Drosophila melanogaster: one gene and its partners. The protein of the gene in region 3 interacts with the protein of the main gene of each other region in a pairwise test. Each region holds a gene or a part of one and is shown on either strand. Other genes may lie near its edges.

The links.
Region 1: the proteins of yip3 (region 3) and Prosbeta1 interact in a two-hybrid assay, tested with the Drosophila melanogaster proteins (one large-scale study listed by BioGRID).
Region 2: the proteins of yip3 (region 3) and qkr58E-3 interact in a two-hybrid assay, tested with the Drosophila melanogaster proteins (one large-scale study listed by BioGRID).
Region 4: the proteins of yip3 (region 3) and CG8671 interact in a two-hybrid assay, tested with the Drosophila melanogaster proteins (one large-scale study listed by BioGRID).

The regions. Positions count from the first base shown.
Region 1 is NT_033778.4:16,013,243-16,016,429, forward strand, and holds Prosbeta1 (proteasome beta1 subunit), read right to left. Parts: upstream 1,546-3,187; 5' UTR 1,455-1,545; coding exon 1,410-1,454; intron 1,347-1,409; coding exon 872-1,346; intron 804-871; coding exon 649-803; 3' UTR 563-648; downstream 1-562. Other genes in the region: CG8389 (uncharacterized protein), read left to right, coding at 1-294; Rrp42, read left to right, coding at 1,736-1,792, 1,850-2,046, 2,098-2,263, 2,318-2,788; EMC7 (ER membrane protein complex subunit 7), read right to left, coding at 2,897-3,022, 3,089-3,187.
Region 2 is NT_033778.4:22,408,694-22,413,536, reverse strand, and holds qkr58E-3 (quaking related 58E-3), read left to right. Parts: upstream 1-1,991; 5' UTR 1,992-2,087; coding exon 2,088-2,244; intron 2,245-2,303; coding exon 2,304-2,425; intron 2,426-2,485; coding exon 2,486-2,850; intron 2,851-2,908; coding exon 2,909-2,998; intron 2,999-3,140; coding exon 3,141-3,226; intron 3,227-3,516; coding exon 3,517-3,650; 3' UTR 3,651-4,329; downstream 4,330-4,843. Other genes in the region: qkr58E-1 (quaking related 58E-1), read left to right, coding at 197-342; PolE4 (DNA polymerase epsilon subunit 4), read right to left, coding at 1,162-1,448, 1,503-1,683; VepD (Ventrally-expressed protein D), read right to left, coding at 4,509-4,754.
Region 3 is NT_033778.4:23,243,485-23,246,999, forward strand, and holds yip3 (yippee interacting protein 3), read right to left. Parts: upstream 1,916-3,515; 5' UTR 1,350-1,915; coding exon 1,333-1,349; intron 1,276-1,332; coding exon 1,168-1,275; intron 1,118-1,167; coding exon 661-1,117; 3' UTR 560-660; downstream 1-559. Other genes in the region: RpL22-like (ribosomal protein L22-like), read right to left, coding at 3,301-3,515.
Region 4 is NT_033779.5:21,261,216-21,266,004, forward strand, and holds the start of CG8671 (uncharacterized protein), read left to right. Parts: upstream 1-1,740; 5' UTR 1,741-1,908; exon of another isoform or gene 1,909-1,964; intron 1,965-2,432; 5' UTR 2,433-2,571; intron 2,572-2,717; exon of another isoform or gene 2,718-2,819; intron 2,820-4,789. Other genes in the region: l(2)k14505 (lethal (2) k14505), read left to right, coding at 20-119, 197-504, 562-742, 798-1,048.

The DNA of each region.
Region 1 (3,187 bases), 7.2 Mb from region 3:
AATCTCACCATATCGGCGCATTGCCGCTCGGAAAAACTGGCCGGCGGTCTGGGTCTGAGCATGATGTCCAAGGGCGTTATTGTTATCACAGTGGGCCAGCTGCTGGGATGGGTGCGAGACTACGCCGACTCCTACCTAATCTGCCTTTATGCTCAAGGAGTCATTCTGCTGGTGGTGGTTCTTGTTTGGACACCGGAGATATTGTACCGCCACCGCAGGCAGCGATGTGCCACCAACAAGTCCATGGAGACGCAGTCTATAGACGCAGCTGAAGTGGCCAAACTCAACTCCTAAATCTCTGGTCACTACCTGACTGGATAAGAGTTTAAGCGAAGGATATCGGTATTGACTGTCATGTGATAGGCGATGAAATGACTTCCCCGTAGGGAACATTCCACTCTCGCCGCAGTAGTTATCTGAGTTGTGAGGAAGGACCAGTGTCAGGAACAGCACTATCTGTATGACTATGCATCTTAGGTTTAGGTTTTCGATTATTTATTACCATTTTAGCCCCTAGACCTAACTTTTGTACTGCCATAAGAGCCAAAATACAAATTAAAGTATGCATATTACAAAAACCAGGTTTATTAGCATGAGACGAGTTTGCAACTCTTTCTCTGATCGATCTTACTTGGGTAGGTATACTATTTATTCCGAGGAAATGAAGCTGGGAGTGCTGGAAACAGCCGATGCGCCCGATTCTGTGTTGTAGAAGATGCGTCGCTCGATGCCATCCTTGGTGATGATGCCAATGCGCACCACACCACCGGAGCTGCCATCGTGGTAGATAGCGTGCTGGACAGCTGTTGGAGGAGGTTTAAATGGGATTCGATTGAAGGGAAACTGTTTTGGTTTTTTTGGGATTACCTACCCTTCTTGACGAATGTAACGCAATCCTCCAGCGCCATATTGGGGCGGTAGTGCTCCCTAACAAATCCGTAGATAAAACTAGATCCCGATCCGCCGATGGTGCAGGACTCGCGGGTCAGCATGCCGCCCAACGGGATGCTGTACACCTGGCCGCCGCGCTGCTCATCCCACCCAGCCACAATGATGCCGGCAAGCAGGGACTCGCGGTAGCTGTAGCAGTAATTACGGAACTCTGAGGCGGCCTCGAACACCAGAGCATCCTTGTTGGTCTGATTCTCGTGATAGTTCAGCGAGTAGGCCACAATGTCGGCAATGGCCTGGGTGTCGGCGGCCGAGCCACTGCGGCAGCAGTACACTTTGTCCGTGATGCGGGTCAGCTTGTCGGTGACCCGATTGGCAACATAGGCGCCCGAGCTGGTGCGCGAATCGGCTCCAATGACCACTCCGCCATCGAACTCCACTGCCATAATGGTGGTCTGCAAATAGGTAGGATTGTGCTCTTAGTACGAAGTTATGTGGCTGATGCTCTTCATACTTACACCAGTGCTGACCGGTGTGTCGGTGAAATCAAAGTCGGGCTGCATATTGATCTTTAAATTTGTTACAATTCAATTTACAATTGATATTTGTTGAAACGCCGCACGAACACGAAATGACTGGCTTGTTTTGGATAAGTGTTACCAGATGGCGATGTGAAATGAAATGCTTCAAATGAAAACATACACCTTTCGCACTGACAACAGTTCAGTAAAGTAAAAACGAAGTGCCAGCAGCCCTGCTTTGCGGTATATCGATAGTATCGATGTGGGTTCATTGCACATGTTGAATTTGTTTTGAATATTTGTTTTCTTGAATTAAGTCTAAAATGGCATACGTTGCACTGAGCGAAGCTGAAAAAACATATATTCTACACGGCGTGGAGGTGTGTTAAACGGTTATGCAAGAAATATAGTCTGTACCTTAAACTATGCGTTTCCAGGATGACTTTCGTTGCGATGGACGTTCACGACGAGATTACCGGCCCATGGACCTGGAAACTGGACTGGTTAGCAATGCCAGTGGATCCGCTCGCCTTCGGCTGGCGAACACAGACATACTGGTGGGCGTCAAAACCGAGATTGATGTACCCAACCCGCTGACGCCCGAGTTTGGTAAACTGGAATTTTTTGTGGATTGGTAATGATGCAACTGAAGTTCGAAGAATATGCCATAACATATATATTTCAGCTCTGCTAATGCCACGCCGGAGTTTGAAGGACGCGGGGGCTCGGATCTGGCCCAAGAACTTATTCTCTCCCTGCAGAACGCCTACGAATCGCCATTGGCCTTCAACTACCGCACGTTGTGCCTCATTCCGGGTCAGCAGTGCTGGAAGCTGTACATAGACATCCTGGTTAGACTCTAGTGTGCTTAATTATACCGAAAATGCTAATCCCTGTTCTCGCAGATTCTGGAGTGTGGCGGCAATCTACACGACGCAGTGTCGCTGGCCGCCAAAGCGGCTCTGTTCAACACAAAGCTGCCCCGGGTGACAGCCACCATGTTGGATGCCGGCATCACAGACCTCATCATATCGGACAATCCGTATGACTGCACCCGCATCGGCATCGAGACGGTTCCGCTGTTGGTCACAGTTTGCAAGATCGGTGATTATGTCCTGGTGGATCCTTCGGCGGAGGAGGAAGTCTGCAGCACAGTGAGCATGGTTGTGTCAGTTTCCATGCGGAATGGACAGGCATTCCTTTCGGGTACACACTTGACCGGCGGCGGAGCCATGCACCGGGACACCATGCGCAACTGTCTGGAGCTGGGTCTGGCCATTGGCGAGCATCTGGACCGGCTGCTCACTAAAATGCTAAATCTGGAGCAGCAGCGCGTCGGACTCAAGCGACCGCAAATAGTAGGATTTCTTAAATAAAGCGGCAAAGTCTTGTAATGAAAATTTACTATTTAAACGATCTGACTCTGACTTGGAGCTCGGCGCTCCGATTAAGCTTAATACTAAAAGCTATCTGGTGGCCAACTACTACTGGTCCTTGCGCTTCTTCGCCTGCCTGACGGCCGGAGCAGGCTTCTTCTCCTTGGGCTCGGGCTGCTTGCCCGTTAGCAGTGAAGTCAGCATTTCGCTGATCTCGGGCATATCGTTGCCCATCTGTGGAGCAGAGCATGATTCATATAATACTATAGTGCTGTGCTATACATGATCCTCACGGCTTACCTTTGGGAACTGCAGATTGTCGATCTCCTTCTTTGTCTCGGGATCGTTGATCATCTTGGGCAGCACCAGCATAAGGAGCAGAGGCAAGACCATCATTAG
Region 2 (4,843 bases), 830 kb from region 3:
AATGCATTTTACTCAAAACAATAACGTTTCGTAGGGTGTAGTGCATTCAAAACCGGTTAAACAATATATTTTTCTTTTTTTTACAATGTATATATGCTAAGCAAAAGAAAAACCAAAAACCAAAAAACAGCACCACAGAGACAGAACAAGAAACAATTTAAAGTCTAAACAACAAATAAAATTCTTTTCAAAATAGCAAAACCAAGCAACGGTCGTTCATCATCGTCATATCGACCAACCACCTCGGGCTCGGGATCACATTCATCTGCTCACTACGAAACTGGATCCCGATCTCGTGAAAGCGTGCGATATCGCTCGGCTCCATATCCGAAAATACGTTAACCCATCGATTTTCCAAAACCCCAAGAAACCAACCTCAACAACAACTACAACAACAACAACAACCACAACTAAACAATGTTAAGCGTAAAGATTAAAATATATTCCAACGAAATATCAAAATGTTTGAAGTCAACAATCCAACTATTCACACCTATTAAATATAATATATAAACGAAAATCAAATAAAAAACGTAAATTTTTATTGCAACTGTTGTCCGATATTCAAATTGTGTTTAAAATTAAAACAAGAAACCAATAATGCAACAAATTTTATCCTCAAAAAGATTGTAAAAACAAAAGACATACTTCAATCAACCTAATACTAGTTAAAGCCAATACGAGAAGAGAACTAAACACAAGCGAAAACCCCCCCAAAACAATTAATTTATCAAAGCATAATTTTAGACTAAGCTTGAAAATATTGTTTCATAAGATAATGGAGATAAAACCAACATAAAAAGCAAAATATAAACTACAAATGTATGTGCCCAACGACAAAGTAAGTATCGCCTGCGGACAGAGTATGATTAACAAACAACAAACCACACTATTCAGCAGTTAAATAAATTAACCAAATGCCGGCTTCGTTACAAATTCCGAATAGCAAAGAGTATTGTGAAACGTTAAACGTTGTCGTTTATAATTATGATTTCTTTTTTGTTTTTTTTTCTTTGCGAATCAACAATTGTTTTATAACTTAAATATTATTTTTAACATAAAACCATAAGGACGTTTAGAACTGAATTTGTTTGCCGCTGAATATCCCTAAATAAAGTATAAAAGTATAATCGACAAATCCAGTTTCATTTGTGGGGGTGTTCAAAAGTTCATGGCTCCATCAAGGAATAGCAAACTGTCCACAGCAGAAATGGCCATATCCACGTCCCTCTTTTGTATGGTTTTCTTTTTGGACTGCGCCGTGTAGGTATATGATTCCCGTGACAACGAGGCTATGAATAGTTCCACTGCCTTCGCCACTATGAACACGGCCTCATTGTTGGCCATATGCAGATCCGGATCTAGTTTCATTATGTTCCGTATCCTGGCCAACGGCAGTTGTGTCATCTTGGCTTCGTTATCAGCAGGGGCCTTGTTGCCATTCGTCACTGGAAGGAAAGGAGCCATATAGGAGAAATTCTATCTAAGTGCATCTAACTTACCTGGTTTTTCTGTCAATTGTTCTGTTGTAGATTCTGCCTCAGGATTATCCGGCGATTCCTCGGTGATTTCCAAAGGCTCTTCTGTTTCCGCTAGCTCCGCCTCCTCAGTCTCCATGGCCTGCTGATGCTCCAAGTCCTGTTCTTCCGAGAATTCAGCCTCAAATAGTTCCTCGCTGGCCATTGCGCACTATAAAAATTGAAAACAAACCAAGCGAATGCAATCCAAATACCATATTTTTAGAGATGAGTATCAAGGCAGCCGCCAAAAATATCGATATTGCACCATGTATGAAATCGAAATGGTGGCAGCTCCGCTATCTTCTCGGCGAAGCTCCTTACTAACAGATTTAACTTTTTAAAATAATCTATAGTAATTGTACTACTTCTGTGTTTCAAACACGACATTTTGTACACAGTGGAAAAAATCGACATTTAAACAATCACTATTGAATTAAAAAAGTTGGCAGCCCGAAAACTTCACACGCTTGGCAGCTCTGCCATTATTTTAGTTCATTGGTGTACATACTGTTTTTCAGTCTACACCATTTTTAATTGTAATTTTCTGTAAAGATTGTTATGATAAAAATGGAAACCCCAAGCGAGTTTACTGAGAAACAGCCACCCACCCACGATCACCAGCCGCGTCTTAACGAGGTGGCCCAAAAGTTTCTCGCCGATTTGGACGAGGAGCGCCAGCGATTGTCCGCGGACTTTCCACTTTGCGCACTGCTAATCGACGAGGGTAAAATCAATTTGGCCCTTTTACAGGGTATTTTAATGGTACTAATCCCAATATTGCAGCTGTGGACCGTGTCTACTGCACTGGTCGTATTCCCGGAAAAGAGTTCTACGCAGACGTGTACAAGCAGAAGCCGATGAAGATTACCCAAAAGGTCTTCGTGCCCGTAAAGCAGTATCCCAAGGTGGGTTTATACAATTAGCTGTCCTCTCCGTTCGAAAAATAAATCCGTACCCTTGCGCAGTTCAACTTCACTGGCAAGATCCTGGGGCCCAAGGGCAATTCGCTGCGTCGCCTTCAGGAGGAGACCCAGTGCAAGATTGCCATTAAGGGTCGCAGTTCGATCCGCGATCGTAACAAAGAAGAGCAGCTGCGCAGCACAGGCGACCCGAGATATGCTCATCTTCAGAAGGACCTATTTTTGGAGGTCAGCACGGTGGCCACTCCGGCGGAGTGCTATGCCCGCATAGCCTACGCTCTGGCCGAGATCCGTAAGTATCTTATTCCAGACAAGAACGACGAGGTTTCACACGAACAGCTGCGCGAGCTGATGGAAATGGATCCCGAGTCAGCCAAAAACATTCACGGACCGAATCTGGAGGCCTACAGGTAATCTTACACCCTATGCAGCCTTTGGGCATGAGAATAAAAATATATTATTTTGCAGATCTGTCTTCGACAAGAAGTTTGGAGGCAACAGCAATGGGGCTCCCAAATACATCAACCTGATTAAGAGAGCTGCGGAAAATCCGCCCGAGTAAGTTACTTGTAAAGTATAATTTTGTATTATTTAATGACCCCACCAGGAGTAATGGAACCGAGAGTCCTCGCGTCATAGTAGTGCCTTAAATCCTAGCCAACATCTGTTAACCCAGCAATTAACATTTTCATTTTTATAGAGTCGACGATGTGGAGGAGGTGGCCTATGAGTATGAACATCGTATGCCCCCCAAGCGTCCGCCTACGGGCTATGAGTACAGCAAACGTAAGTTAATCCCAAGCATGCATTCTTTATTTGGGTAGTGCCGGGGTCTATGACATAAGATCGATTTTTCCCCTGAATGCACCAGTTTTTTGGGATGCACCTTTGACAGGAACTTTGGGTTATAGATTAGATTAGATCATACTATCAAAACCAATAACTGTGATTGAGCAAGCTCTCAGATCAAACTATATAATACACTGGAATGATTAATATTATGCAACGATTCACTCCTTTATAGTAATTACATACACGCATAAAATACTACAAATAATAATCAACCAATTTTATAGCACGTCCATCAATAATACCGACAAACGCAGCGGCATATAAACGTCCATATCCGACTGACATGAAACGTATGCGCGAACCGCCCATCAAGTCCTATAAGCCCAATCCGTATACAATACTTAAAAAATATAAATAATAGAGCTCCGGTTGATTTCGTCGCACACCGCTATAAATGAAAACAAAGGACAATGCTTACGTTATAAAATCCATGCTGGGAGCACATTGAAAATACTTTAATCAAGAAGAAAGCAGCATTCAAAATGATGCTATCAATTAATAAACATTAATATTTATAAAACGCGCACTTGCGCTATCAATTCCCACAAACAATATTAATCTTAAATTTGTATATCCATAAATATGTTAAACTGTTGGCATGCCTTTTCTGGACCATTTCAACAGATAATAAGTCAAATAATTCCTATTATGTTTAAATTATGATTTCCCGAGTTCGTAATTTTCTATGAATGTAATAAAATGATACGCATTGAATGAATTTAATAAATTCTCTGCAATCAGATCTAACTATCCTATTCTTTTAAATGACTCGACCCCTCATTTACCATGAATATATGCATTACGTAATTAAACAATTGTCTCACTAGCAGTAGAATCAAGAGGTTTATATCTAATGAAATAAAACCGTGCGAACTTATCACATTGTTTAATCAAAAAAAAAAAAAAAAAAAAAAAAAACGAAATGAAGATCACATCAAGACCTTAAAGTGCGTCTAAAAATAAGTTAATAAACTATTATAAATTTATAAATGAAAAAGAAAAAACATTGAATAAACATATAAAGAGTTTGCATAACTAAAATATTTCAGGTTTTTTCAAAGTATTATTTTATTTTAAATCTGATGGGTAAGTAGCTTAAGTTTAACTGTTAATGTCTAAAGTAAGGCTATAAAGTTAATAAAGGCTTAAAACAAATGTCTGTCTATCTTTGGATATATTTTCTATCAGGGATATGGTTTTCTTTTGTGTTGTTCAACTAACATTGATATTGCAAGGGCCTCCCAGTGAAGCTGGCTATCCAGAACTTCTTCCTTATCTCATATTCATTGGCTTCTGTGGAGCGTGTATGTTCCTGGGCTTGTAATCTTAGCAGGATTCTCTGATAGACCTCATACGCAGTTTGGGGCTGTCCACAACGACTGTTGCCGCACTGCTCAGAGAACTGTGGCTCCTCGACGTAAGTATCCTCGATCGAAAAAGGATTCTCGCTGTGCGGTATCATCTGAATGATATGGATGTCTCAGGCCTGATTCTTGACACAACTGATAGGCGAGCACTCACCTTGGCTTTTTTCACTGACGCTGATTTACT
Region 3 (3,515 bases):
AGTCCAATCTACGTGGAAATCAATTAGCAACTGCCGGTTTGCAGGCCATAAAAGTGAAAATCCGGAGCAGACAGCATAATGCCACCCAAGAGCTGTCAATGGAGGAAGACCACACAAGTGGACGCAGGAGTAGGGGAAAATGGAGCCTGGTCACGCACAGGGGAGATGGACGCAAAGGAAGGGGGCGTGGCGAGGAGGAGAAAGATAGAGATCCCGATTGCCAGCTCGAATATGAAATTATTCAAATGCAGCCACAACATATAAATTCAAGTTAATCCGCACAGCTGGACATCGCCTCAGTCCCCAGATCCCCGGAGGCAGACGAGCGGATCTGGTTAGTGGGGATCTATATAGAGCTATATATCCATACCCATAGCGGGTACAAGGACTCTGAGCTGCCAGCCCGCTGATGGGCGCCAGCTTTTAATCATTATTAATTATCCAAGGGCCAGGTCGGAGGAGTATAAATCACTTGTGCTGGCGCTGCACCATTTCCAGTGGGAGGAGCGGCTAATCTATTTTAGGCCAACTTGCAAAACGCTGAGAAATGTGGCTAATTACAGGGGGGGGGGGGGCAGTGGAGCAGCCACCATTCATTTATATGAACATAAATCGAAATGATACAATTAACTACTATGTACATGTAGATAGTAGGAGGATCTAGAAATTGCTGGCCGGCGATACAGAGGTCTCGTCGTCCATATCGAAGTCCATGTTGGCACCTTGTTCCTCGATTTCTTTAGCCCTATAGATGGTGCACATTTCCACGTGCTCCCACCTAAGCGCTTTCCTGGCCAACTGTTCAGCCTCGCTGAGGTTTATGAAATCATTCCAGTCTTTCGAGAGAAAGTCCACAATGTTCTCCTTATCTCTGCCCTTTGCACCATACATCACCATGCGTGACTTTCCACACTCCATGCTGAATAAGTGAAGGCCCCTGCTGTCCTGGCCAGCTATCATGACATTTGGGGATTCGGCGGTCTGGTACTTTTCGCAAAACATGTCCCGCACCTGGGACACGGTCACATTCTGGCCGCGATCCCGGACTAGATTTGCCACCTTTGAACTCACTTCCAGAACTATGTTCCGATCGATGCCGGAACGAGGTGCGCAGCAGCTGAATAATTAATAAGTTATTTTAAGGCATTGCAAATTGAATAGACTTACTAAATGCGGTCATCTATTAGATACATTTCGTATTCCTTCGAGTCGGTGGCCAGTATCACGGCGTTGGTACTCTTAAGACCCACGATGTTGCCTTGAATCGACTTGGAACTGTGGGAATCAATAGCTAGTAAGTAAAAGTATATATGATTTCAGTCACAAACTCACCTTTCACCTTCCATCATTTTCAAATAGACTCCCAAAAGCGTTCGAGCAGAAAAGTGCCAGTTAAATGAGCTGCAAAGATTCTTTAAAACTTTAAAAGGGCTTGGGAAGTAGAAAATAAACTTGAGCTGGGTACAAAGACCTTTCAAAACTAATATTTGCTCAAGTAGATTAAGGCCAACAAATCGTCAACGCCTGTGTGGCTATCCATTGTCTGAAAGTAAGTGATATTGGCAGCCCGAGGCTGTCCGTCACCTACGCTGGATGGCGATCTTCAGATGGCGATGGCGATGATGATGATGGGGTCTCGCCAACTGGTTGGCACTGGCCGAGAAACGCGTCTCTGCGCAGTTTCCGAGGCAGCTGCACCTGCTGGCCCTAAAAATAGATCCAACCAGTTGGCGAAGTCAAGACCAGAAGGCCTCGGAATGGTAGACACTTTAACGAGCCTATCAATTTAAAGACACACACTGTCCGCGCAACGATGTAATCGATGTGTTAATTAGCCTAAGCAGGAACAGGGATCAACCTACCTAGAATCGGAGTGGATTTGAGCCTATTACCAAGATTCTGGATCTGAATGTTTGACGCACAATTAAAAGCCAACTTGATTGCACGGTTCATATTCCATGTCACAAGGGATTTGCTTTCAAATTAATAAGGCCCTGACACAGGGTTCAAAATTAATACTTGTTTTAATGCCAGCTCTATTTGCTGCAAAAAGTGGCTCTTCAAGGGAGTGAAATACATCATACAAATGTGCACTATTAATTAAATAAAATAGCGTTAATGCTAATTAACACATGCTAAAGTATTTTTTACGTTGGTATATTCGGTTTGACAAAGAACGCCATCATCTATCAACTATGGGTGTTAGTTCAATTAACTTTAATCACCATTGGATGTCAGGCCTATTCCAATTACCAATGGCCAATTGGCTTTTGACAGAGGCTGTTCTCTCTCTGCTTTGGCCCGATATCGTTTTCCCATTTGACAAAATAATAATCGCGTGTGGATCACTCTTGACTTCCCCCCCATCGCAAGCCCCTTATTACATTATTATTATTATTATTGGTACTCGTCTGCATGTCTGGAATTTAATTTTTTCTGGCATTTACAAAACACTTCAACCCGTTTTGACAAGAGTCGGCGATGACAGCAATTACCATACGATTTGCATGACGTTTATGTTTATTTTCGCTTTGTATTCCCTTCCAGGCGGCAATCGTGAATATTTTGCCCAGCCTTTGTGTTCTTTTGGCCAAGTCGAAAAGAAGCCAACCTGCGAGTGCTCAGGTTGATTTCGATTTTGACAGCTGCCTGCCTGACTCACTCCACTGGGCTGCCTCGCTGTTCGCATTTTGGCTGGATTCGCATTTCATTAGCTCGTTATGGACCACCTACGGCCAGGCCGGGCCAACTGCTGACAGAGGAGCACCCTCTGATCCCCACCCATGGTTTCGTCCATTTGGCAGACCCACAGCGAAGCAATTAAGCCGCCTGGCATCGAACACAATCCCGTCCAATGGGGCAATTTAAGGTATTTACAAAAGCGTAAAAAGGTAAGGAAAACAAGACTGGCTCCTCCCAATCAAAACATGACGAATGCCACTCGAGGCCCTCTCCGAGATGTCAATCGTTCAAGTTTAAGTCGATTCGACCGAGGAACGCTCCGCTCCTTCCTCCTAACTGACCGTAAAATGAAATCTTTAAGTTCTTCAAGGGAACTCTGCAGCTTCGGATGAGAATACATACATATATGATATACTCTTGTTAGGGTTTTTTTTTTTTTTATTGATATTTCATCGTTGAATATGTTGAAGCAAATGAGCAAAAATTGTATGAGCCACATTGAGAACTAGTGAAACTTCAAGTGGGAAATTTAACAGAAGTATACTGAGAAATTTAAGAAGTCTACACACTTGAACAGCTTTCATGGGATATACATGTTTTCGAAATGCGATCTTTGTTTTAGGCAAAGGTTTTTCCGCCATTGTCGTCGGCAACGTCGTCGTCGTCGTCATCAAAGTCCTTGTCCTGAATCTTAAAGTAGGTCATGGCGAAGGTGTCCTTGGCCGTGGACACTACCCGCAACCAATCACGCAGGCTGACCTTCTTCAAATACCGTTTGGTCAGATACTTGAAGTAGCGCTTGGAGAAGTGCACACCGGAGTGGATGATCAGCG
Region 4 (4,789 bases), on a different chromosome or scaffold from region 3:
AGGCAGACAAACTCTAAAAATGAACGGAAAGTATGTAGTTAGCGCCATCCGAGCTCTCCGGTTGACCAATTTCAGCCAGTGCAAAGGAGCCGCTAGCAGTTTCACTGTGCGCCACTATGGTAAGCCGCGATAGCCAGAATAAAAACGTGTGTTGCCATTTCATAACATCCCGCGATCGGCGGTTCTTCTCCTGCAGCCTCTCCTCCCAAGCGATTCTACAAGAAGACTTCCGTACTGAGCGGCGACAGCGGCTATGAAGTGGTGTTGGATCACCGGAAACTGAAAACGCCCAAGGGCACACCCTTCATCGTCCGCAGCGAACCCCTGGCCATTGCTGTAGCCACTGAGTTCGACGCTCAGAAGGAAAACATCGAGCGTTCCCGCATGCACTTATCCGCGCTCTGCTTCACGGCCATTGACAATCCCAATCACCTCTCCAAGTTGGACATGGTCAACTACCTTCTCAACTTCATCGCCACAGACACGGTGCTCTTCCAGTACGATGTGAGTGAATCAACTGAGAATTAGAGTGCACATTCCACAGACATATATCTTTTGCAGGACGAAAAGGACCTGCAGGACCTTCAGGTGAATGAATGGGACCCGGTGATCGCCTGGTTCAACCAGCGCTACGACACAAACCTGCAGAAGACCATGAACATAACGCCGCCTCAGGTCAGCGAGCAGGATAAAATGAATGTCGCAAAGCATTTTCAGTCCTACAGTTTGGAAACTCTGCATGGTAATGCAGACCATAAGTCTGGAGTTCAACGTCTATTAAATATATTTTCCTCCAGGCTTCATTTTCGCTGTGGACACCTTAAAGTCGATTGTCCTTGCCTGCGCCGTCATCGAGCAGATGCTTACCGTGGAGAAGGCTGTGGCCCTGGCGCGTCTAGAGGAAGAATACCAACTTAAGTTCTGGGGTCGCGTGGAGTGGGCACATGATTTAAGCCAACAGGAGTTGCAAGCACGCCTGGCGGCTGCCGTGCTCTTCGTACACCTTAACTGTTCGGAAAACCTTGTTAAGCAAAAGATAATTCTTTAAAATTAAAATACCTGTTCAACATACATATGAGCTGACTACCACAGGGTTATGGTAGCACGTATGTAGGTCTCCTAGGACCTAGGACATAATAATAGATGTATATAAATCGTGCCTAGTTTGAAACTTATCAAGGTCAGGTCATCCTCCCTTTTTTTTTAGCTCTTACCGGTTTTTTTTTGTTGTAATAATACGGTTTATATTATCATTTTTTCATACTTTCTTTAAGCACGAAAGTAACATACTCTTTTGACGTCTCTTATAACACAACTGAATTTTAGTTCTGATTTTAATTAGTAAGCCACAAGGATTCTGGTACAGCAATACGTGGAGGCAGTGAACATAAGGAAGTACATTAAGTTTTTTGGAACTACACATGTACAAATGTGTAGGATATATGTAACATTTTTAAATTTGAATGAGATTACTAAATTTTAGAAATATTTAGTTTGTTTAATCCTAATTTAAGGTTCGGTTTTTTTGCACCTTGACATAGAACCCTATTTTTGGAACCCATTGGCAAAACATGGACATTTATTTATCTTACTTAAGAAAAAATTAAGTGCTAGTGTAATAGGCGCTTAGAGGAAGTCTCAAAAAACAAAAATAATTAAGCAATTTTTTTTCGTAGGTGTGGTATATTCTGATAAATACTTGCTTGGTATTTTAAAATAGTTACGGTACAGTCCTACTGTACACTGCGGTCACACTGGTTCGGACGTGGGTGGCGCATCATCGGTGGTATTCTGTTGCTAATTAATCAAGTGCAAAACTACATTTTTCGCCAGTAAATCCGAGGAAAGCTAAGTTTGCAAGAAAACAAACGAAAGCAAAGGCAGTTGATAATATTACTGGCGCGTTTGGTAAGCAGCGTCGTTCGAGTGCGTGATTGTTCCAATGTTTGTGCTGGTGTGCGTTTGTGAGTGCCTTTTCACTAAAAAAAAATGTAAAAAAAAGTGTTGCCAAAGCAGTGAGGCATACATTTTCCCAGTCGCTTTGTTTCAAACGAACGAGATTTGCAAAATGCGATTTATAGACCAGAAAACAAATCTGTATCGTTGCGCTGGGGATATTTATCATTTGAACCATCCCTTTTCACTGTTCTCGGTAGAGGGGATGTGAAAAAACCAGCGACTACATCAACAAAAGCGTGTGTGTGAATATAACAATCTCGTTGTTCCCTAGTTTAGTTGCTAAGAAGCATTTTAATAATTGTGAAATCCCAGTACCGAGGACGACAACAAATGTAGATTTTTTCAAAGCACAAACAACTGCAGCACGACGTTCGTCGCCCTTCGGGAGCGGTTGTATTGGTGTTCCGTGCTGTTGTGTTTGTGCTACCACCTTGTTCGATTTTAATGTGTTGTTTCTGTTTTTCACATCAAAGCTCCGTATTTCGTGCGGAAAGTGTAAATGGCGTGTTTTAAATATTATTTCGGATGTGTCTCCGCTATATAATCAGCTGTTTGCAACGTTAGCGTTGACGCCCACATTTGAGCCCACTGTGTGCAGAATTCAACTAAAAGGTAAGTCCGATTGAGATAATTGTATTGTAAGCAAACACCAAACAGTCACACTTTTTACTATTTATATACATGGCTTACAGTGTTACCTCCTTAAACCGAATTTCATGTGTGTACACATTTACACGTATACGCATTGACTTCTTTTGTTCTTTGTTTTTATTCCCTGTCAGAGAGTATATTGATTTTAGGTGGACATTTGCGACCATATAAAATATATATATTCCTGATAAAGAATATTTAATATATCTTCTTTTTCGGTATACACCAGTGTTTGACAGTATATAATTTCGGTTTTAAACAGAAATCTGGATGAAGCTGTTCTATCTTTAATATCAAATTACGGAAAGGGTATATAAGCTCCGGTTTGTTGAAGCTACTATTCTTAATTTTAATTTTAAGTTGGTCTATGCTAATTGTGTTTTATCCTGATTTGTTTTTATCTTTTACTGTTTTTTTTTTGTACATTTTGGGAAGCTGAAACAATTTCTGATTAATTTTTAAAAAAGCGCGCCCTATAGGTAAATTTTACTGTGTAATTTAGTCGAATGATATTGGGCAGATTGGGCATGCAGATTGCAGTGACGTCGGCGGAGCTTAAGAATGTTTATGACTTCGTCTTCTAAAATGTTAATGTTTTTGAAAAAGGCTCTTAGAGAATACAATTGATTTTCTTGCCAATTAAAAAATATAATTCTGTCATAATCGTGGACGTCTGATATAGAATCTGCGAAAGGTCACGCTTTTAACTTTGCGTCAATATTTGGTCACCCACCGTTGGTTTGGCATATAAATTGCCGGGCTTTGGAATTTCAGTTTCGCAATGAAGTGTAAGGTGTGAAAAATGTTTGCAATAATCAAATCAAATCAGCACCAATGAGGTTAAACGGGGGAGGGCAACCCTGAATTGCTCGTTCAGATCTGACTTCGTCTGCTTCTGTAATGAGGATGTGCTCAATTAGATTCAAATCCATGTGGGTTCATAACGAGAAACAGGGAAAGTTCTACGGTTTCGGCTTTTTAGTGCTTTACTAACTAGAAAAATGGAATGGGTGTGCCCTTTAAAATATAACTAAAGAATACAGAACATAATTGGGGCTGTCAATGCCTTTTGTATCACCTTGCTTATTTATAGTTTGTATATTTTATACATATATCAATTTAAGCGGTTTTTGAATAATAATAGGGTATATTGATTTAAGCCAGAACTTTGTGCCGCAGTGAAGTATATAGAGATTTTACCAGATTCACTCGATTTGTTAAAAAGTATGTAAAAGGTTTTGAGTCCTTCCTAATGAACTCCTCGATCTCGGGAACTATAAAGGCTAGAAGTTGATATTAAGCATGCAGATTACAGAGACATAGACGCAGCCCAAGTATGTTTTAAATGTTTCATTTTAATATAGTATTTCCTGATCTGTATCGTAAGACAACAAAATTATGAAACTTTGCGTTCGTATTCCCACTAGCTGAGTAACGGGTATCTGTTAGTCTGGGAATTCGACTTTAGCATTCACTTTTGTTATACCCCTTACTCTACGAGTAATATGCTCTACGAGTAACGGTATGTAATAGGTACGAATATGTAATAGGCAGAATGAGGCGTTTCCGATCATGTAAAGTATATATATTCTTGATCAGGATCAATAGCCGAGTCGATTTGGCCGTCTGTCCGTGTGAACGTCGAGATCTCAGGAACTGTAAAAGCTAGAAGGTTAAGACTCAGCGTATAGATTGTAGAAACAAAGACGCACAAACCGCACAAAACTGCCACGCCCACACTTTTAGAAAATGAGTTGATATTTTTTCATATTTTTATTGGTTTTGTAAATTTCTATCGATTTGCAAAAAAAACTTTTTGCCACGCCCAAAAACCGCATTTACTGCTTGCTTTTTTATAATTTTATAATATAATAATAAAAATTATATATAATATAATATAATATATATAATGTAATATAATAGATAATATAAATAATATAATATAATATTTATAATATAATATAATATTTATAATATAATATAATATATATAATATAATATAATATAATATATATAATATAATATAATATAATATATATAATATAATATAATATATAATATATATATCATAATGTTCATTATGAACTATTTATACCAGTTACTCGTAGAGTAAAAGGTTTTACTAGGTTCTTTGAAAAGCATGTAGGTAGAAGAAAGCGTTTCCGGTAGTTTAAAATAT